Callithrix jacchus: one gene and its partners. The protein of the gene in region 4 binds, or shares a complex with, the protein of the main gene of each other region. Links are inferred from orthologs where the notes say so. Each region holds a gene or a part of one and is shown on either strand. Other genes may lie near its edges.

What was found. Proteins that work in one complex are often made in the same cells at the same time.
Region 1: TAF1B (region 4) and POLR2H share a complex: the UniProt entries of both Homo sapiens proteins name them as parts of the pol I pre-initiation complex. The link is inferred for Callithrix jacchus from reciprocal best matches to the Homo sapiens genes TAF1B and POLR2H.
Region 2: TAF1B (region 4) and RRN3 share a complex: the UniProt entries of both Homo sapiens proteins name them as parts of the pol I pre-initiation complex. The link is inferred for Callithrix jacchus from reciprocal best matches to the Homo sapiens genes TAF1B and RRN3.
Region 3: TAF1B (region 4) and POLR1B share a complex: the UniProt entries of both Homo sapiens proteins name them as parts of the pol I pre-initiation complex. The link is inferred for Callithrix jacchus from reciprocal best matches to the Homo sapiens genes TAF1B and POLR1B.

The regions. Positions count from the first base shown.
Region 1 is NC_133516.1:13,339,971-13,346,201, reverse strand, and holds the start of POLR2H (DNA-directed RNA polymerases I, II, and III subunit RPABC3), read right to left. Parts: upstream 4,322-6,231; 5' UTR 4,200-4,321; coding exon 4,127-4,199; intron 2,573-4,126; coding exon 2,489-2,572; intron 2,406-2,488; coding exon 2,312-2,405; intron 1,169-2,311; coding exon 1,085-1,168; intron 1-1,084. Other genes in the region: CLCN2 (chloride channel protein 2), read left to right, coding at 6,191-6,231. UniProt on the Homo sapiens protein: DNA-dependent RNA polymerase catalyzes the transcription of DNA into RNA using the four ribonucleoside triphosphates as substrates.
Region 2 is NC_133513.1:13,151,422-13,157,714, forward strand, and holds the start of RRN3 (RNA polymerase I-specific transcription initiation factor RRN3), read left to right. Parts: upstream 1-1,972; 5' UTR 1,973-1,997; coding exon 1,998-2,086; intron 2,087-3,921; coding exon 3,922-4,027; intron 4,028-4,660; coding exon 4,661-4,717; intron 4,718-6,293. UniProt on the Homo sapiens protein: Required for efficient transcription initiation by RNA polymerase I (Pol I). Required for the formation of the competent pre-initiation complex (PIC).
Region 3 is NC_133515.1:22,053,557-22,059,883, reverse strand, and holds the start of POLR1B (DNA-directed RNA polymerase I subunit RPA2), read left to right. Parts: upstream 1-2,006; 5' UTR 2,007-2,038; coding exon 2,039-2,215; intron 2,216-6,327. UniProt on the Homo sapiens protein: Catalytic core component of RNA polymerase I (Pol I), a DNA-dependent RNA polymerase which synthesizes ribosomal RNA precursors using the four ribonucleoside triphosphates as substrates.
Region 4 is NC_133515.1:105,061,129-105,066,884, reverse strand, and holds part of TAF1B (TATA box-binding protein-associated factor RNA polymerase I subunit B), read left to right. Parts: intron 1-2,897; coding exon 2,898-2,968; intron 2,969-3,468; coding exon 3,469-3,691; intron 3,692-5,756. UniProt on the Homo sapiens protein: Component of RNA polymerase I core factor complex that acts as a GTF2B/TFIIB-like factor and plays a key role in multiple steps during transcription initiation such as pre-initiation complex (PIC) assembly and postpolymerase recruitment events in polymerase I (Pol I) transcription.

The sequences.
Region 1 (6,231 bases), on a different chromosome or scaffold from region 4:
TCAGGTGATCCACTCACCTCAGCCTCCTAGAGTGCTGGGATTAGAGACATCAGCCACTGCGCCCAGCCAGCATTGTTCTTTCTATTAGCAAAGTCGAAAAACACCTATATGCTCCAAATCAGGGGAATGGGATCCACTTACTGAAATGTTATCTAACTATTAAAATGTTTAAGAAAGCTTTACACTAACATGGGGAAACATTTTCTTTTTCTTTTTCTTTTTTTTTGAGACGGAGTCTCTCTCTGTCTCCTGGGCTGGGGTGCAATGGCACAAGATCTCAGCTCACTGCAACCTCCGCCTCCTGGGTTCAAGCAACTCTCCTGGCTCAGCCTCCCAAGTACCTGGATTATAGGTACCTGCCACCATGCCCAGCTAATTTTTTGTAATTTTTTTAGTAGAGACGGGGTTTCACTATGTTGGCCAGGCTGGTCTCAAACTCCTGACCTGGTGATCCACCCACCTCGGCCTCACAAAATGTTGGGATTACAGGTGTGAGCCACCACGCCCGGCCAAAACATGTTTTACATAATGTTAAGCAAAAAGCAGAAAAAAGGTAATTAACACCGCAGTCTCAAAGGAAAAATATAGATGTTAAGAACACTAGGATATTAACAAAAAATTAAAAATAAATTTAAAAAAAGAACACTAGGATATGCAAAAAAGTCTATGTAAAAGGTTCTCTCTGGGTATGGAATGACAGGGTTTTTTTTCTTCTTCACATTCTCTTCCGCATTTCAAATTACTTACAAACAGCACATATTGTTTTAATAAGATTTTAAGGAAAAGACACACACACACACACACACACACAGCCTAATAGTATAATCACTTAATGCTGCATTTGGTTCCTCCATACTTTAACAGGGAGATGACCAGTTTCTCTTCTGGACCACTAGGCCAGGAGGGCCTGACAAAGGGCAGTCTACAATTCAGACTGGAAACTGCTCTAATAACCATTTCTTTCTAGTTCCCACCTATGTCTGAGGTGCCTAAGGAGAAGGACCCAACAGAGGAAGCAGAAGCATAACTCAAAGTCTCAGAACAGGGAGGGGGAAAACAATCCTCACAAGATCATGTAACTTACAGGCGTGTTGCCGCTTCAGTAGAAGTTTCGTCTCCCTCAATCCTGTATACTTTCCCATACATTACATACTCAAATTGGTCAGCCCTATGGAGCAAGAGTAGCAAAGTTATTCTTAACAGTAATTAACAATATAAAAGATGCCATTTAAAAATGGTAACTGGTAACTCGATGCCAGCATTTTAACAACAGGCACATTATAAACATGACGCCATTTAGTCCTCACAGCAATTCTGTGAGCTAGGCAGGACCATCTCTAGTTTACTGATGAGGAAACAGGCTGAAGGAGATCAAGCTTACTTAGCAAGTAAGTGGTAGAGCTCAGAAATCAACTCGAGCGGGGTGCCAAAGCCTTTCCATTACACCAAACTCCCTCCCAAGACACAAGACCCACAGAGCGGTCATCTTCTCAGCCTTCAAAAAGCTACAACTCACAAGCATGTAATCACTGTTATAAATACCTGGTTGTTTGAAATTTTTTATCTTTTTTTTTTTTTTGAGACAGGGTCTTGCTCTGTTGCTCAGGCTGGAGTGCAGTAGCATGATCGTGGCTCACTGCAGCCTCAATCTCCCTGGCTCAGGCAATCCTCCCACCTTGGCTTCCCAGGTAGCTGGAACTACAGGCACATGCCACCATGGTCAGCTTTTTTTTTTTTTTGTAGCAGTGAGGTTTCACTATGTTGCTCAGGTTGCTCTTGAACTCCTGGACTCAAGCAATCCTCCTGACTCAGCCTCCCAAAGTGCTTGAATTACATGTGTGAGCCATAGTACCTGGTCTGTTTGAATTCTTAAGTGCAGAAATTTCCTTAAGGTTACTCAGATTCTGCTAATCATTATTTATTCTAGGAATTAAAGAAGAGTCTTTCGTTTTTCTTTTTTTTGGAGACAGAGTCTTGTTCTGTTGCCCAGCCTGGAACTCAGTGGTCCAATCTCTGCTCACTGCAACCTCTGCTTCCTGGGTTCAAGCAATTCTCCTGCCTCAGCCTCCTGAGTAGCTGGGACTATGCAGGTGCCCACCACCATGCCCAATTAATTTTTTGTATTTTAGTAGAGACGCGGTTTCACCATGTTGCCCAGGCTGGTCTCAAACTCCTGACCTCATGATCCACCTCCCAAAGTGCTGGGATTACAGGCATGAACCACTGTGCCCCGCCAGAAGAGTCTTTCTATATCACTTATCTACTTAGTCCTCAGGGCATATTTCAAGTATCACCTTCTCCACTCCCTCACCTGGAAGGCCTGTCATCAGTGGGGTTATATTCACCATCATCCAGGGTGCCATCTTCATACAAGGTACTAGCTATGACCAACCGGAACTTGTCACCTAAAAATAACAGCAATATCAGAGAGTGAAGAATAGCTGAAGCAGCAAATAGCCTCTTATTATTGTCTGTGTTCAATACTTACCCAAGTCTACAGGGTAAATTTGAATGTTTACATCTAAGATGAGATCCATCTTGAAAGATTCACTCTCACAATGTAGCCGAGACACTGGGGAAAAGTGGAAAAAGAGTAAGAGAGGTATTGCCAGGCCCAGGGAAGATCCTACAGTGTGGGATTGTATGCAACAGAATACTCAATCTAACCCAGCCTACATCCACTGGTCTCTCATGTCCTCTAAGGCAGGCTCAGTCAGACCCAGATATGCAAGGAGGAAATCAGGAGAAAAACTGTGGCAAGTGAACGTAATCCCCAGAAAACAACTAAAGATACTCCAGCAGCAAATAATATCCAGGTTCTAGGCCTGCCTGGATGGCTGAGAACCTGACTCTGGGCAAGTTATTGAATCATCCAAAGGTTTCCTCTTTCTGTGCTAGGCACTGTGCTGAGGGGGTTATCAAGATGTATAATGACTGGTATCCATCTTGAAAAACATCTGAGTCTCTAGGCAAAGAAACAGACACCAAAGAGAAAATTATTGATCAATGACAAAATAAAGAAATGGAGACTAGGCGCGGTGGCTCACACCTGTCATCCCAGCACTGTGGGAGGTTAACGCAGGTGGATCACTGGAGGTCAGGAGTTGGAGACCAGCCTGGCCAACATGGTGAAACCCCATCTCTACCAAAAATACAAAAACGAGCTGGGTGTGGTGGCAGGCACCTGTAATCCCAGCTACTTGGGAGGCTGAGGCAAGAGAATTGCTTGAATCCAGAAGGCAGAGGTTGCAGTAAGCCGAGATCACACCATTGCACTCCAGTCAGTGTGAGTGACAAAGTGAGACGCCATCTCAAAAAAAAAAAAAGGAGTCTTCATGAGGTGGGTGGTGCCTTCCCTGTTTTTCTCTGAGAGTTTGAGTAACTCACCCAAGGCTGCACAGCAAGTAATCTAACTTCAGAGTCTATATTCTTGTATCGCTCTCAGAATCTTTAGCGCTTAGTGAAGTCTTTTCTGAGAGTTAACTAGTTAACTGCTTAGCGTATATATATATAATTTTTTTTTTTTTTTTAATGGAGTCTGGCTCTGCCGCCCAGGCTGGAGTGTAGTGGCTCGATCTTGGCTCACCACAACTTTAGCCTCCTGGGTTCAAGCGATTCTCCCGCCTCAGCCTACCGAGTAGCTGGGATTACAGGCGCGCCACCACCACACCCGGCTCATTTTTGTATTTTTAGTAGAGACAGGGTTTCACCATGATGGCCAGGCAGGTCTCGAACTCCTGACCTCAAGTGATCCACCCGCCTCAGCCTCCCAAAGTCCTGGGATTACAGGCGTGAGTCATCGCGCCCGGCCGAGGTCTCTTAAGAATAAGTAAGGCAAAGGGTGTATGAGCCGCACAAGACAGTGTCTAGCACAGAGTAGGCAGCGATTATAAAGATGCTCAGGAGTTTGCCAGCACTATGACAAAAGGCCATCCAGACACCCAGCACGGCATGCGTGAAGCCAGAGAGCTGAGTCTCCGTTTTCTCATTCATAAAGTGTTTCCTGAGGGAGGTCCCTACATCAGGACCTGCTGGTAGGAGCAGGCCACAAGAGCTGGGTGGGCATGGGGCCCAGGGACATGTCCGCGAGGTTAGCGTCTTCCTCCAAACCTCGTACCTTACTTACCTCGGTCAAACTTCTTGCCCTCTGGGTCAATATCCTTCACATCGAAAATATCCTCAAACAGGATGCCCGCCATCGCAAGTGGGCCAGGAGAGCAGCAGAAGGGGTTAACGCGCGACCACGGCTGGGAGTACGCGCACCCCCTCGCGTGGAGAAGGGAGATGAGCAAAAGCACCTCCAGAAAGGCGGCAGCTAGACAAGAGTAGCGCATGCGCACAAACAGGCGGTAACGCGACCACTTCCGCCACAATCTTCCTCTCGGGGCTACCTAACTTCCTCCCCGAAAGACTGTTTCCGAGAGGCTTCGGCATTGAGGGCGGGTCTCACGGCCAGGTGGCTCCGCCCAGGGCGGGGAAACAATAGGTCCAACCTCCCGCGGCTGTAGAGCGGCTTCTGCTACGCTGGGGCTTTACTGCGCGCTCTTCAGAGTCTGAGTCCAGAAGATTGGAATGCGTGGGGGCCTAACCCAGGCAGGGACCTTGATCCTTGGCCCAGAGCGGCCAGGCCCTAGCCCTATCCCGCCGGTCCTCGTGCCCGCCAAGGGCACAGTCCTCGCCGAGGGCAGGTGGAGAAGAACCCCGCCCCAGAGGTGCCCAGCCCCTCCAGGAGACACCAAGGACGCCGGGGCCGGCCTGGGCCGGCTGGGCCCTTCTGGATGTAACCTGAGCCGGATCCGTCCAGTTTGGGAATTTGCCATGACGTCGCTTTGGAGAAATGGAAAGGCTGCATGGTCCCCTCCCCTCATACGGCACCCCACGACACTGCCCTCTTCCCCCAGGCCCTGGTTTTCCCGCGCACCGCCCCTTCAGCCTGGCTCCCGCCCCCTGGGCACTCCCCCTCCAGCTTGGTACTCTGCGTTCCCGTTTACTGGACACGGATCCCCTCCGTACCCCTTCGGCCTAGCACTGCCCTCTCCCTTGAATACCAGCTCTTCCCTCGCACTGGCCCTTCCTCCTGGGTGGCGGCTTCTCTCCCAGGGCCCCCCCCCCTCCCCGGGCACTGCCCCCGCCCCCCGAGCCCCGCCTCTGCCTCCCAAATAGCCCTTCCTTCTGGTACTACTGGCTCTCCCGCACCCTGTCCGCGTCCTGGGCGCCGCCCCCGCTCCTCTCACACTGTCGCTCAGCTGCCCGTCCACCCTGCGCGCGCTCCGCCCTCTTTTCTATCCTTCCCTGGCCCCTGACAGAGAACCCCGAGCACCAGCAGACCGTTCCCCGAAAGCGGAGGGACAGCAGCAGCGACTCGGGTTCCTCCTTGAGCCCAGCCAGGGAGAAGCGACCTCTGCTCTCCACGCCCGCGTTCCGGGCGTGGACTCCCGGCCCGTGGAGCTCCCCTCCTCCGGCCTACCCCTTCCGGGGCCCTCCCAACCTCCACCCCCGCACACCCCGCAGGCCGGGTTGCTCCGGGTGCACCTCCCTGGGGCAGCCCCGGGAAAGGAAGGAGTAAGGAAGACGGCCCCGATCCGCCCCGAATCCTCCCAGCTTTGCTGCTCACCCCTGACAGGCCTGTCAGAGCTGCAAGTCCCTTGGGACGGGGAGAGGGGAAGCGGCTTCTAACCGGCTGACCCGGAGGCGTCCGATGTAGATCACTCAGCACCCCCATCCCTGAGCCCTGCGGAGCTCGGGCATCTGCAGCCCCTCCTGCCCGGACGCAGGGAACCGCCAACCCGGCCCGGCCCCTCCACGTGCCCGCGGACCCGCCCCTGCCCGGCCCCGGGCGCCCCTCTCCTTCCCCGGCCTCCGCAGGGAGCCGGCGCGGGCTCCAGACTGCTCAGCGCCCCCTACCGCCTCTCGGGAGGCCCCGCGCGGACCCCGGCCTGGCTGGGCCGGCCCCTCCGGATGGGCTGGCGGGCGGAGCAGCGCAGAGGGCACCACCCTCGGCCCGCCCGCCGAGGAGGGGACAGGAGCCGGAGGCTGCGCCTGCGGCGCCCGCTCCGGGCCCGCCGCACTCTGCTCTCGGTCTCCCGGGCTGCGGGGACGGGACGGCCGCCGGCGCTGACTCTGCGGGCCGGAAGCCGAGTAGAGGGCAGAGCCCGAGCCCCGGAGGGAGGCGAGAGGGCAGTGCAGGGAGATGGCGTCGGCCGCGGCAGCGGAGGAGGGGATGGAGCCGCG
Region 2 (6,293 bases), on a different chromosome or scaffold from region 4:
TGCCTAGGCTGGTCTTGAACTCCTGGAGATACACCACACACACACACACACACACACACAGTTTTTTTTTTGAGATGAAGTTTTGCTTTTCTCGCCCAAACAGGAGTACAGTGTCCTGATCTCGGCTCACTGCAACCTCTGCCTCCGAGGTTCAAGCAATCCTCCTGCCTCAGCTTCCCAGGTAGCTGGGATTACAGGTGCCGCCACCACGCCTGGCTAATTTTGTATTTTTAGTAGAGACAGGGTTTCATCATGTTGGCCAGGCTGGTCTCAAACTCCTGGCCTCAGGTGATCCACCTGTTTTGGCCTCTTAAAGTGCTGGGATAAGAGGCATGAGCCACTGGGCTTGGCCCACTCATATACATTTTTTTAAAAAATTGATTAATTAATTAAATTTATTTATTTCTAGATGGGGTCTTGCTCTGTTTCCCAGGTGGGAGTGCAGTGGTGCTATCTCTTGGGCTTAAGCAATCCTCAGCCTCCCAAGTAGCTGGGACCATAGGTGTGTGCCACCACACCCATATAATTTTTATTATTTTTCATTTTTAAAATTTTTTATAGAGATGAGCTTTCACTGTGTCATCCAGGCTGGGTATTTCTTTTCTTTTTTTTTTTTTGAGACGGAGTTTCGCTGTTGTTACCCAGACTGGAGTGCAATGGCACGATCTTGGCTCACTGCAACCTCTGCCTTCTGAGTTCGAGCAATTTTCCTGCCTCAGCCTCCAGAGTAGCTGGGACTACAGGCATGCACCACCATGCCCAGCTAATTTTTGTATTTTTAGTAGAGATGGGGTTTCACCTCGTTGACCAGGATGGTCTCATCTCTTGACCTCGTGATCCACCCGCCTCGGCCTCCCAAAGTGCTGGGATTACAGGCATGAGCCACCACGCCTGGCCGCAGGCTGGGTATTTTTGATAGGCCTGTACACTTTCCAAAGTTGCAAACTCTTCCCCTCCCAGAGGGTAGGGGCAGCCCCTGTTCTCCCTCTACATCCCCCACAGTCCCTAGGTCTTGGCCTCTGCTGTTTCCTCTGCTTAGAACATCCATTGCTATTTTGTTGGTGGGCCTAATTCGTGATTCTCTTTTAAAAGCTTAAGTTTGGCCTGGCACAGTGGCTCATGCTTGTAATCCCAGCACTTTGGGAGGCCGAGGCAGGTGGATCACCTGAGGTCAGGAATTTGAGACCGGCCTGAACAACATAGTGAAACCTGGTCTCTACTAAAAATACAAAAATTAGCCGGGTGTGGTGGCATGCGCCTGTAATGCCAGCTACCCAGGAGACTGAGGCACGAGAATTGCTTGAACCAGGAAGGCGGAGGCTGCAGTGAGCTGGATCACGCCACTGCACTCCAGTCTGGGCAACAGAGCAAGACTCGATCTGGAAAAGGAAAAAAAAAAAAAAAAAAAAAAAAAAAAAGGTCAAGGGGTGACATTTGGAAACTCCTGTTATTTCTCATTCCAGCATCATCACAGCCTTGAGGCTTTGGGGAAGGTCACTTCGTCGACCTCGTTTCCGTGAAGATAACGTTATCTTGAGTATCTGTGAGGATGCTGCATCGAGTAGAGAGCCCAGGCTCCTGGGTCAGCGGGGTTTGAATCCCGTTTCCTCCGTGAGGATCTGGGTTAATCACAGGGCTTCAGCTTCTTCGATTAGACTGACGGACGCTTTGACTCCAAAACATTAACAATCGCGTGTACTCGGCCACAGCTTAACACCTCCAGGGTGCTTTCACCCTTTCTTTGGAATCCTCAGGGCTGGATGGAGCCGGCAGTTCAAGTCTCTACACTCCCGCTTTCTCGTTGGGCGGTACAAGTCCTCCAAGTAGAATGAGGGGATGACTTTGGCGGCGCTCTAGCCCGCCGAGAGTATTCACTCTCCCCAAGCGGGGGCTCTGATTGGCTGAAGGTTGCGCTGGCTCGCGCGACTTCCGGGACAGAGGGCTGGAAGGCACCGCGCATCCGGCGGGAGGTGCTGAAGTCGCGTTGGTTCGGCCCAATGGCGGCGCCGCTGCTTCACACGCGGTTGCCGGGAGATACGGCCGCTTCGGCCTCTACGGTCAACACGCTGGGCACGTCGAGGACCGGGTAAGATCCAGGCCGCTTCCTTCTGCGCGTCCGGACCAAAGCTCAGGACACGGCGTTGGGGAGCAGATTGAAAGGGTCTGGGACAAAGCTAATGGTTAGGTAGGAGCAGGGGATCGAGGGCCATCTCACGTTCGCAGGAGTGAGCTCATTCCTCTAAGTGGGTAATAGACATAGGAGGGGGCTGGAAAAGTAAGTATATTCTCTGTTCTGGCCCCCTTTCCCTACTATATGTTTCTTGGTGGTTTCCCAGGCCTGGGTACTGCTTTCTGCGCCTTGACGCCTCTTCCTTCCCGCTTCTTGGAAGGGAATCTCTGGGCTGTTTGGTTTATCCGCTCAATGTTGTCAGTCATGGCTAATAAAATATTACAATTTTTTTGGTTTGAAATTTGTTTCGACACATAACTTGTTTAGCAGTCTTTATTTTGTTCCACTTTTAAAATCCCTAACCCACATAGCACAGTTGGCATTTAACTTTCAGAGTCATTAAGATGCTGTGTTTTTTCATTTATTTACTCTGTGCAAGTGAAGACCTTGTAAAACATTTAGCGTAATAAGATTCTTTCTTTTCTTTTTTTTTGAGATAGTTTCGCTCTTGTTACCCAGGCTGGAGTGCAGTGGTGCGATCTCGGCTCACCGCAACCTCTGCCTCCTGGGTTCAAGCAATTCTCCTGCCTCAGCCTCCCGAGTAGCTGGGACTACAGGCGCGCACCACCATGCCCAGCTAATTTTTGTATTTTTAGTAGAGACAGGGTTTCACCTTGACCAGGATGGTCTCGATCTCTTGATCTCTTGATCCACCCGCCTCGACCTCCCAAAGTGCTGGGATTACAGGCGTGAGCCACTGCGCCCGGCCTGATTCATAATATTTCTTGAGCTCCTGCTTACTGTATTAAATACTGGGGACGAGTAGTTTATCCAAAGACACGAATGTCCCTGCTTTCTACAGAGCTTACAGCCTGGGGCGGGGGGGAAGGCAGTACAGAGACCAGTAAACAAATGAACACGATGATTTCAGTTGTACAACAGGGTAATAGGGGAGGGAGAAGGGAGAAAATGAATATTTGATATTTCTCGTGGGGAAAACATCTGACATTTGAGCTTCAACTTGAATGAAGGCAAAAATCCAGGCCTGGTGTGGTGGCTTACTCCTGTAATCCAGCCACTTTGGGAGGCCAAGGTGCAGGTGGATCATCTGAGGTCAGGAGTTCAAGACCAGCCTGGCCAACATGGCAAAACTCCATATCTACTAAAAATACAAAAATCAGCCAGGCATGGTGGTGGGTGCCTGTAATCCCAGCTTTGTGGGAGGCTGAAGCAGGAGAAGTGCTTGAACCCAGGAGATGGAGGTTGCAGTAAGTGGAGATCACCGCACTGCACTCTAGCCTGGGTAACAGAGAAAGACTCCGTCTCAAAAGCAAAAAACAGACAAACAAAAATCCAGCCATATAGATTTGGGAAAAGAGTATTTCCAATAGAGTGAACAGTAAGTGAAATGAGAACCAGCTTGACATATTTGAAGAGCAGGAAAGACATTATGGCTGTAGTAAAACAAGTTATTGGGAGATAGATAGGGTCAGAGACGTAGGCAGGGGCCAGATTAATGTAGGACCTTAAAGACCACACTAAGAAATTTGGATTTTTAGTATAAGTGCAGTGGGAAGACAGTTTTTGGTTGCTGAGCAAAGGAGGGATTGTTGGAGAAAAGTGGAAGCAGGGAGAGCAGTAAAGAGCCCTTAAAAACAGCCTCATTGAATGATGTTGGCTCAATAAATGTTGGCTATTACAATTCTTATTATTTTCATGAACTTAATAGCTTGTTAATCTTGGTTCCACAGGATTTCAAGTATGCTTGCATTAGAAAACGATTTTTTCAATTCTCCCCCAAGAAAAACTGTTCGGTTTGGTGGAACCGTGACAGAAGTCTTGCTGAAGTACAAAAAGGTAAGAGGAGGTAATGTATGAAATTTGCTTTTGGTCAGGTCAGAATACAACTATTGCTGTTATACTGAAGACCAATAGAAATGTAAGATGAGTTTAGATACCAGTTGAAATCAAATATTTCATAATAGTTTGATGCTGGCAGTTCAAAATTAAAGTAGTAATGTCCTTTTTTTCCCCTCCACCGTGGCCCATTTCATAGGTGAGAGTAATAATGTGTTCTGAGGTTTCACCTTTTCACATGCTTTACTTACATAGCATCTTTTAACTTTAGCAAGTGCTAGAGTTAAAAACAATTACAGCATTTTATTTTTTTTGAGGAACTTAATACAACTTTGGGACGGTAAGCCAGTTCTCGGAATAGATATTTTTGTTTTTGTGGTAGGTTAGAAGCATTTCTGCTAAATCTCAGCAGTAGAGGGAAATGACTGGATGTGTATACGTAATATCCATTTGTATCCACATTTGAGTGCATACTTTCTTAGATCTTCCTGAATTAGATCATTATGGCTGATGTGTGAAAGTTAGTGTTCCTTTTATAATTTCATCTGATGTTAAACTATGGCTAAAAGTCCTGTTGATACTAAACAGGAAACAAAAGCAAACATAACTTAATTCTTTCCCCGTCTTGTTAAGGGTGAAACAAATGACTTTGAGTTGCTGAAGAACCAGCTGTTAGATCCGGACATAAAGGTAATTAATTTTGTGTTTAATCATTAACAAAATTATTGCCACTTTATATGGACATTAGTTTGCTCTTTGGGTCCCATTATGTCCTCCAGAACTTGCTCTTTCCGAGGTCCTCTCCTACTTTCATCTGGTGTTCTAAACCAGGGACAGTTTTACCCCCTAGGAATTTGGTGATGGTTGCAGATGTTTTTATTTGGGAGGAAGGGGTGCTACTGGCATCTAGCAGGTGAATGACGGAGATGCTGCTGAACATCTCACAGTGCACAGGGCAGACTCCCATAACCAAGACTGATCCAGCCCCAGCTGACACCCGTGTGGCAGCTGGGAAACCCTGCTCTAGTGCTTCCTTTCTCTTAGACTTCATGCTGCATGCAACTCTCTTGTCTCTTTAAAGCTAAAACAAAACAAAAACTACTGTTTCAAGTTCAAAATTTACCTGTCATGTAGTAAAAACTCAATACATTTTGTTTCACTGTTCTTCCTTTACTGCCAATTTTGAAAAGAATAGTTGATTACCATGGCAATGGTAGTTAGATTGCCTGGGATAAAATTTCAGTTTAATTGTTATCCAGCATGTGATCTTGAGCAAATTGTTTTAACCTCTCTGCCTCTATTTTCCACTGTGTAAACCAAGAAAACAATAGAGATTTTTAAAAATATGGAGTGTTTTGTTTTTTAAGAGATGGGGTCTTGCTGTGTTGCCCCGGCTTCTCACAGGTGGTATCATAGTACAGTACAGCCTTGAACTCCTGACCTCAAATGATCCTTTCTCCTGAGCCTCCTAAGTAGCTGAGACTGTAGGTACATGCCACTGTGGAATGCACCTACATGGAAATATTTAACAAAGATTCAATGAGCTTATATACAAGAAGCATTTAGAACATTCTCTGACTCAAAGTAAGGGCAGTGATTGTTAGCTGATATTTTTGTTCCTGCTCTCTGCACCTTATCATTTCTCACTCACATTTAAGCCCATTCTTCTTATCACTGTAGTAATTACCCTGACAGAGGTTACCTGTATGTATGTGTGTGTGTGTTTTTTTTTTTTACACACTGATTTCAGTGGACTTTAATTTTTTTGAGATAGAGCCTCGCTCTTGTCACCCAGACTGGAGTATAGTGGCATGATCTGGGCTGACTGCAAACTCTGCCTCCCAGGTTCAAGCCATCCTCCCACCTCAGCCTCCCGAGTATCTGTGCCACCTCACCCAGCTAATTTGTTGCATTTTTAGTAGATTTGGAGTTTTATCATTTTGGCCAGGCTGGTCTTGAACTCCTCACCTCAAGTGATCCACCCACCTCTGCCTCCCAAAGTGCTGGGATTACAGGTGTGAGCCGGCCTAGACTTGTTTCGTGTCTGTTAGGTGCATTTACTCAGAATCATTATGTGTATTCCAAACTTAGCACGTCTTAAAATAAACTCTTAATCTTTCTCTCACACCCACCCTTTCTGCAGACTTGTGTGCTTAACTGTTCATTGCTTACCACATTATTAGGGTAGGCACCTTGGGGTCTTCTTGAATTTTATTATCCCTCAGGTCCATTCACTGGATCAAGTCCTTCGGGAAAAAAATCTCTG
Region 3 (6,327 bases), about 83 Mb from region 4:
TCAAGTGGTTCTCCTGCCTCAGCCTCCCGAGTAGCTGGGACTAGAGGTGTGCACCACCACACCTGGCTAATTTTTTGTATTTTTAGTAGAGACGGGGTTTCACCGTGTTAGCCACAATGGTCTCAATCTCCTGACCTCGTGATCCTCTCATCTCAGCCTCCCAAAGTGTTGGGATTGCAGGTGTATTATTAGTCGTGCCTGGCCCGACTAATAATAATTCCTTTAAAACTTCCCACAGGGAAAAGCCCAGGACCAGATGGCAAGGAATTAACACCAATATTTCACAGACTTTCCTAAAAAATAGAAGAGAAGGAAATAATCCTCAGCTAACTTTATGACTTCACTCTTAATACTCTGATACTAAAACCAGACAAAGATGTCACAAGAAAAGTAAATAGCATACCAATAGTCTCTTAGGAATACAAATAGAAAAAATCTTCAACAAAATACTAGTCAACCAAATCCAGGAACATAGGAAAAGGATTATACATTATGACTTATCCTAAGATTACAATGTTTGGAATAACACATGTTCTTTTGTAAGTGGGAGCTAGGCTGGGGGTGATGGCTCACACCTGTAATCTCAGTACTTTAGGAGGCCAAGGTGGGCAGATCACATGAGGCCAAGAGTTTGAGTCCAGTCTGGGCAACGTGGTTAAATCTCATCTTTATTAAAAATACAAGAATTAGCTGGGCATGGTGGCGCATACCTGTAATCCCAGCTACTCTGATGGCTGAGGCACAAGAATCACTTGAACTTGAGAAAAGGAGGTTGCAGTGAGCCAAGTTCATACCACTACTCTCCAGCCTGGGTGGCAGAGCAAGACCCTGTCTCAAAAAAAAATTAAATTAAAAAGTGGAAGCTAAACATTGGGTACACATGGACATAAAGATGGAACAGCAGACACTGGGGACTACTAGAGCAGTGAGAGAAGCAGGGGAGCAAAGGTTTAAAACTACTTATTGGATACAAAACTACCTATTGGAACTTGGGTGACAGGTTCAACCGTGTCCCAGACCTCAGCATCACGCAATATACATTTGTAACAAACTTGCACAGGTACCCCTGATTCTAAAATAAACGTTGAGAAGGGGAAAAAAGAATGCAAAGCTTGTTTAACTTACAAAATTTACTTAATATACCACTTTAGTAGAAAAAAGGAGCAAAAAGCACATGATCATTTCAATATACACTGAAAAAGCATTTGGCAATAACACTCTTGGGAAGAAAACCTCTCAACAAACTAGAAATAAATTACTTTCTCAACTTGATAAAGAGCATCTTTGGAAAAACCCACAGCCTACATCATATTAATGGTGATGTGAATGCTCCAGTTGGGAGCTTTCTTCCAACATCAGGCACAAAACAAGTATATTTATTCTTGTCCCTTCAACATTGTACTAAATGTTGGACGCCCCCCTACCACAGCCTCTCCATCTGAGACCGCCCGACCCCTACCCCACCTCCTTCCCCGGGCCTCCCCCAGGACTCCAGTCCAGACGATGCGGGGAGGTTAGCGGGCCCGACCTTGGCCTTCCAGGGGTGAGCCTCGCGATTTAGGAGTTGGGTAAAGAGCCCGGGGCCCGGCATCCGATTTTTCATTGAAACAACGACTTTGTCCGGATGACTCCCCAGGGTCGGCATCAGCGTGGGACTTGGAACAGGTTAAGGGACCGGATAGATGGGAACCTGAGAAGACCGCTTACCTCCAATCCTAATTGACTGAGCCAATGAGAGCCAAAGAGGTCACACGCTCAACTGGGTGAGGAGTGGGTTTCGCCTTCTTTAGCAGAGGAGGGAGATGCGTGGAGCGGAAGATGGGAGAAGGGGCGGACCCGCCACGCTCTGGCTGGATACAGCTTTAACCGGCCCGTTCACTCGACGGTTTTGGTTCTACGTCGACCCCATAAAAACCGTAGGGCCTAGGGCGGGCGGAACAAGAGGGAACTACATTTCCCAGCAGGCTGCGGAAGCGGGACTCCGGCCACTACTTCCGGCGCGTACTGAGCGACGGGTGTTAGGTGTGCAAGTAGCCGCATGGATCCCTGCAGCCGGTGGCGAAACCTTCCCAATGGGCCTAGCCTAAAGCACTTGACCGACCCGTCTTATGGAATCCCGCGGGAACAGCAAAAGGCAGCGTTGCAGGAGCTGACGCGGGCTCATGTGGAGTCCTTCAACTATGCTGTGCACGAGGGTCTCGGCCTCGCGGTGCAGGTGAGTGCGGCATCCACTGGCGCCCTTGCCGCGGAGAGACCAAGCTCGAGGCTGGCGGGCGAGAGGGGCCAGGCGGAGCTGGAGGAGGGAGGGGCGGGGGTGAGGTCTGGGCCTTGTGGGGCGCGGGCGGTGACAGGGTCCCAGAGAAATGGCTCAGAGGCCACAGTGTGACCCAAAATGCGTTTGCTCCTTGATCCTGACAGGCTCAGAGGGTAAGCGGGAGAGCACACGTGTTGAACAAGACGCAGAGCTGGGCCTCGTGGAACGTGTATTCGAGTCGTCTAAGAGATGTATTCGTGATTTCTGGATTGAAAAGTGATTGCGAACCATAGTTTCTTGTTGGATAGTTTCTGGGTTCTGTGAGAGTGAGGAAATGGCTTATTGGGGGTGTGCTTCCCAACCATTCACAATGCACATGCCTTTGTATCACTTGAAGACACCTCTCCAAAACGTACCTCAAAATATTCTGAACGTATTTGTAGGTACAGTGTAATGTACAAGGTTATCCTTCAGTTTCCTTTTCTTAGAGCTTTAAAGAGAGAAACTACTCATTTGTTCTGAATTAAGTAGGTGCTAAAGAAGGTATAAATGAGTCGTAAAGGCAAGATTGAATCGAAAAGTGTAATAGCATTACTAGCGTAGGGTAATGGTAGCAGAATTGAGGTGAGGATGGTGGGGGAAAGTTTCGTTTAGTAAGTATCCCCAGTGTCTCTAGGCACTAGGCTCTGAGGATGTGAAGGCCGCAGTCCCGTGTAAGAGACAGTTCATACATTTAAGTGGTCCCTGTCGTGTTTTGGGGTTAAAGGAGTGAAGATAGGAAAGTAGTCCATGCCAATACGCGAGCACTGCTCTGTCAAGGGATTTTATGGGCTACTGTGGGAGCATATAGGCAGCGCAACTAGTCCAGGAGTTTGAGAAAAGGCAGGATTAGATGAGTTCAAGAGGTGAGAAACATGCATTCCGTCCAGGGGAAGAGTAGAGCAGAGTCACATGCTTAGGGGACCCTACCTGTGGTTTTGTTGTGTAAGATTTGTGTTGTGAGAGATACGGGTAGAGATAATGTGAAGAGCTTTGATTGCCAGTCTGATACTTGAACTCTATTCCGCAAATAATACGGGAGGCATTAAAATTTATTTTTTGGGAAGACAAGAGTGGTGGGGATATTTGTATGTATTGTGCCTGGATTCTTAGAGTATCATGTCTGTGAGAAAAAATACCTAATTAAAAGTTAATTAGACCAGGTACAGTGGCTCACACCTGTAATCCCAGGACTTTCGGAGGCCGAGGCAGAACGATGGCTTGAGCCAGGATTTCAAGACCAGCTTGGGTAACATAGTGAAACCTCGTCCTCTGTAAAAGTTAAAAGATAGCAGGGCATGGTGGTGGGCACATGTGGTCCCAGTTACTTAGGAGGCTGAGGTGGGAGGCTAACTTGAGCCCAGGAATTCAAGGCTGCAATGAGCTATGATTGTGCCACTGCACTCCAGCTGGGGTAACAGAGCGAGACCTTGTCTTTAAAAAAAAGATAATCAAATTGAGAAATTTTAGAAAAGCACTAATTCGGGCCGGGCGCAGTGGCTCACGCCTGTAATCCCAGCACTTTGGGAGGCCGAGGCAGGTTGATCACGAGGTCAAGAGATCGAGACCATCCTGGTCAAAATGGTGAAACCCCGTCTCTACTAAAGATACAAAAAATTAGCTGAGCATGGTGGCACATGCCTGTAATCCCAGCTACTCAGGAGGCTGAGGCAGGAGAATTGCCTGAACCCAGGAGGCGGAGGTTGCGGTGAGCCTAGATCGCGCCATTGCACTCCAGCCTGGGTAGCAAAAGTGAAACTCCATCTCAAAAATCAATCAATCAATCAATCAATAAACCAATTGATTGGGTGTGGTGGCTTTTGCCTGTAATCCCAGCACTTTGTGAGGCTGAGGCAGGCGGATCACTTGAGGTCAATCAAGAGTTCCAGACCAGCCTGGTCAACACAGTGAAACCCTGTCTCTACTAAAAATACAAAAATTAGCCGGGCATGGTGGCACATGTCTGTATTCCCAGCTACTTGGGAGGCCGAGGCACGAGAACCGCTTGAACCCTGGAAGTGGAGGTTGCAGTAAGCTAAGATTGCACCACTGCACTCCAGCCTGGGCGACAGAGCAAGGCTCTGTCTCAAAAATAAATAAATAAACAGAAATAAAAATAAACCAATTGTATGTTAACATTTTTATGAAAATCATTTTTCAGAGCAAAAAAGAAATTAGATGAATTGCATTATTAAAAATCTTTTTAATGTCTGGCTTAATGAAAAGACAGCTGGATTCTCATGTCTGCTTCTGCATTCAGCTCCTTGTGATACATTGTTTTGGTTGAAGTAGATGAAGAAAATTTGGCCCTGCACAGAAAATAATGTCACAACTTATCTAGGACTGTAATAATAACATATTTGAAAATGTTCTGTAAAACACAGTAAAGTAAATGACTACTATTTATAAAGCCAAGGGGAAAAAAAAGTTTTATCATATTTTTATGTACTTACAAAATGTAATTTTGCCTACTTTCTTTGGAGTGAATTCCTCTTGTGAGTCAGAATTTATGGGTCTGTCTTTTCAAAATATTTTCAAAATACAATTGATTTTTATTACTTGGGGAGTCTATCTTTGCAAATTTACCCACTCACTAAAATTTACTTGTACTGCAAAAGCACCGTGCCCAGAAGCAGTGAAAAAGTTGAGTTGTTCAGTATCCATTTTTCCAGCTGAGATCCAACAAGGTGATGCTCGGCCTTCTTGTTTTAAGTTTATAAACTATAAACAGGGGTCATCTTCACTATTATTTAGTGCCTTCTTTGTGCTTTTTGTTGGGGATTTTATTGTTTAAAATGGCCCCCAAGCAAAGTATTAAAGTTCTGTATAAAGTTCCTATCCCACAAGCTGTGCCTTTTGGGGATAATATTAATACATGCATTTAACATAGGCTTTTTTCAAGCCTGAGTTAGGGACTCAGTAATATATATTAAATAGGCTGCCTTTAAACAGAAACATACATAATGCGAGATTGTGTGTTGATTAGTTGATGAAATGTGACCAGAGGCTTACAGGAAGCTACCCATGTATTTACCCTAGGAGCAGTGGTTCAGTATTGGCTAATTCAGTGTTTATGGCAACTGTATAGAACATAACATTGTGAATGACAACAATTCACTGTATTTAGATCTAAATAGTGCAGCTGTGTCTTGAGAAAGCAAATCCTGTAATCTTTCTTTTTTTAAACTAATACTCCATTCTTTTTTTTTTTGAGACAAGATCTACTTTGTCACCCAGGCTGGAATGAAGTGGCATGATTATAGCTCACTGCAGCCTCGACCTTCCAGACTGAAGTGATCCTCCCACCTCAACTTCTCAAGTAGCTGGGACCACAGGCACACACCACTATGGCCAGCTAATTTTTTTATTTTTATTTCTTTGTAGAGACAAGGTCTCCCTATGTGGCCCAGGCTGGTCTCGAACTCCTGGGCTCAAGTAGTCCCCTGCCTCAGTTTCCCAAATATTGGGATTACAGGTGTGAGCCACTGCACCTGGCTTTTTTTTTTTTTTAATAAAATATGAAATTCTAAAATAATACCAGCTTTAGATAAAATTTAAATATTTAGAAAAGGTCAGTTAACTCTCGTGAGGGTGGAGAACCTCATTGGTATTCTTTCTTGGCTCCATTCTTTTCATTCTCATTATTCTAAGACTAAGGCTAGGAGGTTGCCTGCAATGAATATGTAGGAGAGCTTGGTGACCCCTCTTCCTCAGAACAGCAAAGCTTCCTCCACAGAGTGGTGCAAAGAAGTAACTTCTGTGGAAGGGGAAACCCCCGCTGGCCACCATCTTTTCCTTTTCATGGCTCTGGCTCCAGTATGAAGTAACCATTGTACATTAAGCATCTAGTCTTAAGTCCTAAAGGTTGTTTCCATATCCTTGCTTTATTAGCAGCAGAGCTCATTTGTCTTGCTACACACATAGACAAGGTAAGAATACACAAGGCTCTTGGTTCGGAGAACAGGAGCTTTGTTCTGTTCATAGCTGTATCCTTAGAGCCTGCTACAGTCTCTGACACATAGTAGGTACTCAAA
Region 4 (5,756 bases):
CCCAAGGACATAACTATGCTTTCTTGATTTATGGCATGACTGCCACCTATATAGGCATTTACTATAAATGCATAAGAAACATTCACAAGGAATGTTTAACAATGAGTGTGCCCAGGGATTGGGATTAGACTGGTTAGTTTAGGCAACTTCTTTATCCTTTGAGGTTTTATTATTTAGGAAAATTAATAGTCCAGATGCTGTGGCTCACACCTGTAATCCCAGCACTTTGGGAGGCCAAGGTGGGCGGATCATGAGGTCAGGAGTTTGAGACCATCCTGACCAACATGGCAAAACCCCATCTCTGCTAAAAATACAAAAAGTAGTTGGGCGTGGTGGTGGGCACCTGTAATCCCAGCTACTCAGGAGGCTGAGGCAGGAGAATTGTTTGAACCCAGGAGGCGGAGGTTCCAGTGAGCCGAGATCACGCCATTGCACTCCAGCCTGGGCAACAGAGCGAGACTCCATCTCAAAAAAAAGAAAAGAAAAGGAAATTAATAACGAAAAATATATTTTAAAGAATCACTGACTCATTTACCATAGAGTTAAATGACAAACTCTGTGATATATTTTAAATGTGGTATGGTTCACTGAAGTTTAGATTCACACAATTTTCAGGAAGACCATCTCCTGTGTAATATTACTTACATTTCTGCTGTAACTGATTATTAGAAAAATGTCCTTTCTGTTCTTAACATTTAAAATCATTGCAGAAATTTAAAATAAAAAGTCAACATCTGTTTTATGTATAGTCATGATTTTGCTGACTTGATCAAGTATTTTTTAAAATCCTTGAAAAAAAATCAGTTCTTAAATTGGTTAAAATGATGATTTGCTAAATGATATTACTAAAATATTGTTAAAATGTGTGCTTTTGGCCAGGCGTGGTGGTGGCTCACGCCTGTAATCTCAGCACTTTGGGAGGCCAAGGCAGGTGGATCACTAGGTCGGGAGATCAAGACCATCTTGGCCAACATGGTGAACCCCTCCCCCCACTAAAAAAAAGAAAACTACAAAAAATTATCTGGGCATGGTGGCGCCTACCTGTAATCTCAGCTACTCAGGAGGCTGAGGCAGGAGAATCACTTGAACCAGGGAGTCGAAGGTTGCAGTGAACCTAGAACGTGCCCCTGCACTCCAGCCTAGTGACAGAGAGACTCTGTCTTAAAATTAAAATTAAATAAAATTTTTTTAAAAAGTGTATTTTTATATACGTATTACTTCCTAGTATTAAAAATAAATGAGTAATTATTATAAATACTACAGATTTTAAAAATACTTGCATTTCTGGCTTCCTATTTGTAATCTTCTTTTGTAGAAAGTACACAAATATTTCTTGAGTCTACTAGCCAGGCACTTTGTCAAGCACTAACTAATAATTCTAATTATTGTATAGGATTTAAAGCACCCATATATACGTTATCTTAATTATTCCTCAGAACAACCCTGTGAAAGCAGAGGATAAGTTTAGAGATGAGATGCTAAATTCATTGTTCATTTATTCATCCAATTCTTCAACAAATGTTTAAATGAGTTTCTACTATCTACCATTCCCTGATAACACTAGGGACATAAGGATGGCTGAGACAGTCTCTGCCTTTGAGAACCTCCATAATTTGTCATTCAAGGTCATGCCACTAGAAAGTGGTGGAGCCAGGTCTTCTGATTCAGTACTCTTTCTTGTTGCCACAGTATCTTTCAAAATAAGAAAGGGGCATAGGATCAAAAAGAAGGTGGATTTTTTTTTTTTTTTGAGATGGGAGTTTTTGCTCTTGTTGCCCAGGCTAGAGTGCAATGGTGCCATCTTGGTTCACTGCAACCTCCACCTCCCAGGTTCAAGCGATTCTCCTGCCTCAGCCTCCCAAGTAGCTGGGATTACAGGCATGTGCCACCACACCTGGCTAATTTTGTATTTTTAGCAGAGACGAGGTTTCTCCATGTTGGTTAAGCTGGTCTCGAACTCCCAGCTTCAGGTGATGTACCTGCCTGAGCCTCCCAAAGTGCTGGGATTACAGGCATGAGCCACTGCACGTGGCGATTTTTTTTTATTACACATTATGAAACTCCTCTGCTCTAGGGAACACAGAAGTGGTGAAAATGAGACTTAAAAATGAACATTGTTATCTTTGTTCCAGAGCAGCAATTTCTGCTTGGCAGTTTAGCAACAGCCACGAGAACCAGAAATAGAATATGTCACTTCCTTTCGGCCTTAGTCTAGGACTGATCACCCTAATCTGTAGGAACCTTAGTGTTTGTCCTGGAGGGAACCCCAAGAACCATAGCCATCCAGGATCCCCGTTTCACAATGGAAACTTCCTGGCTGCCCTTCCTTTGGCAATAATAAGCTGAGTCAGGGCAGGGACTATTGGGACTGTATCATCCTGGAATTCAGTCTTTTCCTCTCCTTACTCCAGGAATAGAAAAGATTTGCTGGCATCAGGTGCCAGAGAGATGTATTTACTGTTCACTCTGTGTAAGTTATCTGAATCAGAAGTACTACTAACTTAACTCTTGGCCAAAAGGCATTGGAGGAAAGGCAAGGAGGAACAGTTGTTTCTGAGGTGGCTTCACTTTATGAGAATGAGCAGCAAGGGAAATTTATGGTGAAGGAAACGATTTCTATGTTTTTTGTATAATTAATAACTTCTTCATATCTCACAGCATCTGGGCGGCTTTTGGGAGGAGCACACTATTCTCTTGGCCTGGACTCTTAGTCAGTGCTTCCTTGTAGGGCCCAAGTTCAATAGACAATATAGATATGTGCCAACTGGCCATTCTAAGCCAGAATTGTACCTAAAGATCAGGAATCTCAGAGAGTGCTTCAGACAAACCGCTCTCTGAAATGTGTTTAGGTCTGTTTCATCTCCATCCTGCTCCAGCTGTTTCTTTACCTTGTACAGGTACCTGTGGAAAAGTGAAAAGCCACTCTACTACTCATATGTCGACAAACCAGTAGCGTATAAAAAAAGAGGTGAGTCATATTTTGTCTTGTTAATACCAAGTATCAACACAGTTGTAGAAAAATTAAATATCTGGACTTGAAATGTGAATGCTTAAGCTTTTTACTTTTCTAAAACAACTGTTTCAGGGCATGTATACATCCAAAGGAGCACCATGCTCTGCAAGAAATCTCTGCAGGAATCTATTTCAGGAACACGCTGTGCTTCAAAACACAGCCTCAGTTCCTGACAAAAATCTCAAGTCCTAAATCGCTATGACTTTGGGAATTCTTTGCTTATAGAATGCCATTTAGATTGTACATTCTTTTTTTTTTAATTGAGTAAAATATATGTGATAAACCATTTTTTAAGTAGTGTCCCCCATGCACCTCATGCAGTTTCATTTTCCATTAACGGTATCCCATCACATTACCACGGTACATTTGCCAAAACTAAGGAACCAGTATCGGTACATTGCTATCAAGTAAACTCCAGGCTTTGTGATTTGTTTCCTTCTTTTCTCCATTTCCAGAAATGGTGGTGAATTTACAGAAACAATTTAGCACACTAGTTGATTCAACACCAACTGCTGGAAAAAAAAGCCCTTCAAGTTTTCAGTTCAACTGGACTGAAGAAGACACTGAGAGAACTTGTTTCCATGGACACAGCCTCCAGGGAGTCCTGAAAGAGAAAGGCCAGTCACTGCTAACCAAGAATTCATTATACTGGCTCAGTACACAGAAGTTCTGCAGATGGTAATCAATGCTTTTAGAAAAAGCTACATATAATTTAAGTAATTAAGTGTGTAAGAGCCAGATAGGTTTTTTGTTGGAATTAGAAGCTGGTGAGCTTAGTCACAAAAATCAGAATTATACATTGAGTCTTGAGTAAGAGTTCTAGGAAATCTGGTAAAAATCAAGAAAGAGGATACAGGGCAGTTAGCACAAACTGTTCACAGTAGCTAAATTAACCAGTACTGTGGCAGGCTGGCAATAGAAGTGGCCGTAAATGTTGATCAGGAGAATACGCTACATTTTTCAGTTAACACTTCGCTGAGTCAGTTACCTTTCTCATGTCTTTCTACCTCTTAATACTTCCTTAAGCATTTCCTAAAAATAAGGATATTCTCTTAAGTGACCCCAGCAATCAAACTCAGGAAACCTAATATTGATACTATACATTTATCTCACCTATAGTCCACATTCCAATTTTGCCAGTAGTCCCCCCGTGTCCTTTTATAGCAGGATCAAGTTCAGGAGTAGGTATGACATTGATTGATTCTATCTCTTTGGTCTCCTTTCGTCTGATTGTCCGTCAGCCTTTCTTTGTCTTTCATGACAGTGGCCTGTAGTTTTCAGAATGTCAGTGATGTCAGAGCATGTTTCTCAGGACGGTTGTGGTGGTTCCTCGTGTTTGGTTCCGCATCCTTGGCCAAAACAAGTGCTGCGTCCTCAGGGTATCACTTTTCAGAGTATGGCATGTAGAGACCGGGGATGCATTTGCCCCTCACATGTTAATAGTGATCAAGGTGGTGCGTTGGATTTCCACAGTGTAGTTACTATGTTTCCCCTTACAACTAATAAAAAATCTGCAGGGAGATACATGGCCAGTCAAATACCCTGATCCTCATTAACCTTTGTCCCCCTGATTCCATGTATTATGTTCTGTCCTCATATCTGTTGGGTGTGGGTATGTGAAGTCTAGAAAACAACATGTGCTTTTATGATTATTGAGTCTGGATAAAGTAGGATTAAAGATGGGAAGCTGCATGAGGAGAGGAATCTATATAGAACATAGTGGAAAACCTGTATGTCTAAATAGTAAGACACACAGGCTTTTGACTTTCATCAGGTTTAATTAATTGTCAGCTCTTTGGCACACTGGCTCTGAGACTTCTGGCTTAGTAATAGGCTGCCTCATTTTTGCTTTACTTTTTCTGAAGAGTTTTATATTCCCCATAAAAGGTAGATATTGGAATAATACAGTATAAATTATTGTTTGTAGGTCATTTATTTTCTCTCTTTTCTTTTTTTTTTTTTTTTTTTTGAGACAGGGTCTTGCTCTGTCACCCCAGCTGGAGTGCAGTGGCACGATAATGGCTCAGTGCAGCCTCAACTTCCGGGGCTTAATCAGTCATCCCACCTCAGCCTCCCAAGTAGCTGGAACTACAGGTGTGCACCACCACACCCGGCTAAGTTTTTATCTTTTGCAGAGACGAGGGTCTCCCTGTGTTGCCCAGGTTGGTCTCAAATGCCTAGACTCAAGCAGTCCTCCTGCCTCAGCTTCCCAAAGTGCTGGGATTACAGGTGTGAGCCACTGCGCCCAGCTGTTTATTTTTATATGACTCAGGAAATTTCCTCAGGCAGTAGGTAGTGAAGAACATATTACTCCCCAGAGCATGTTTGTTTTTTCTTTAATTGTACTGAAAATCAACTCAAAAAGTATTTTTTGAATACTTGAGAAAAATAAGTCATTATCCTGAGTCCTAGGTAGATAAAAAGGTAATTCAGGAAGTATGTTTTCCAAGGCCACTAGAAGAGAAGATTCTTTTTTAATAAGAGAGTGTTTTTCCCACTTCCCTTCTGTAGTGTTTTAATAGCTGTAGAGAGGAGTATATGGATCAGAAATTACAGAGATAATCAGTGGGGTATATTGGTGTTTACTGTAAAATTCTTTCAACTTTGCGGTATGTTTGAAATTTTTTATGATAAATATTGAGGGGAAAAACGAAACAGACTCTGGCTATGCCATAAAATTTTTTCCTCCTTGCCTATTTTAAGTTTTAGTTCAGTTTTATCTAATAATAGCAAAAAGGCCGTT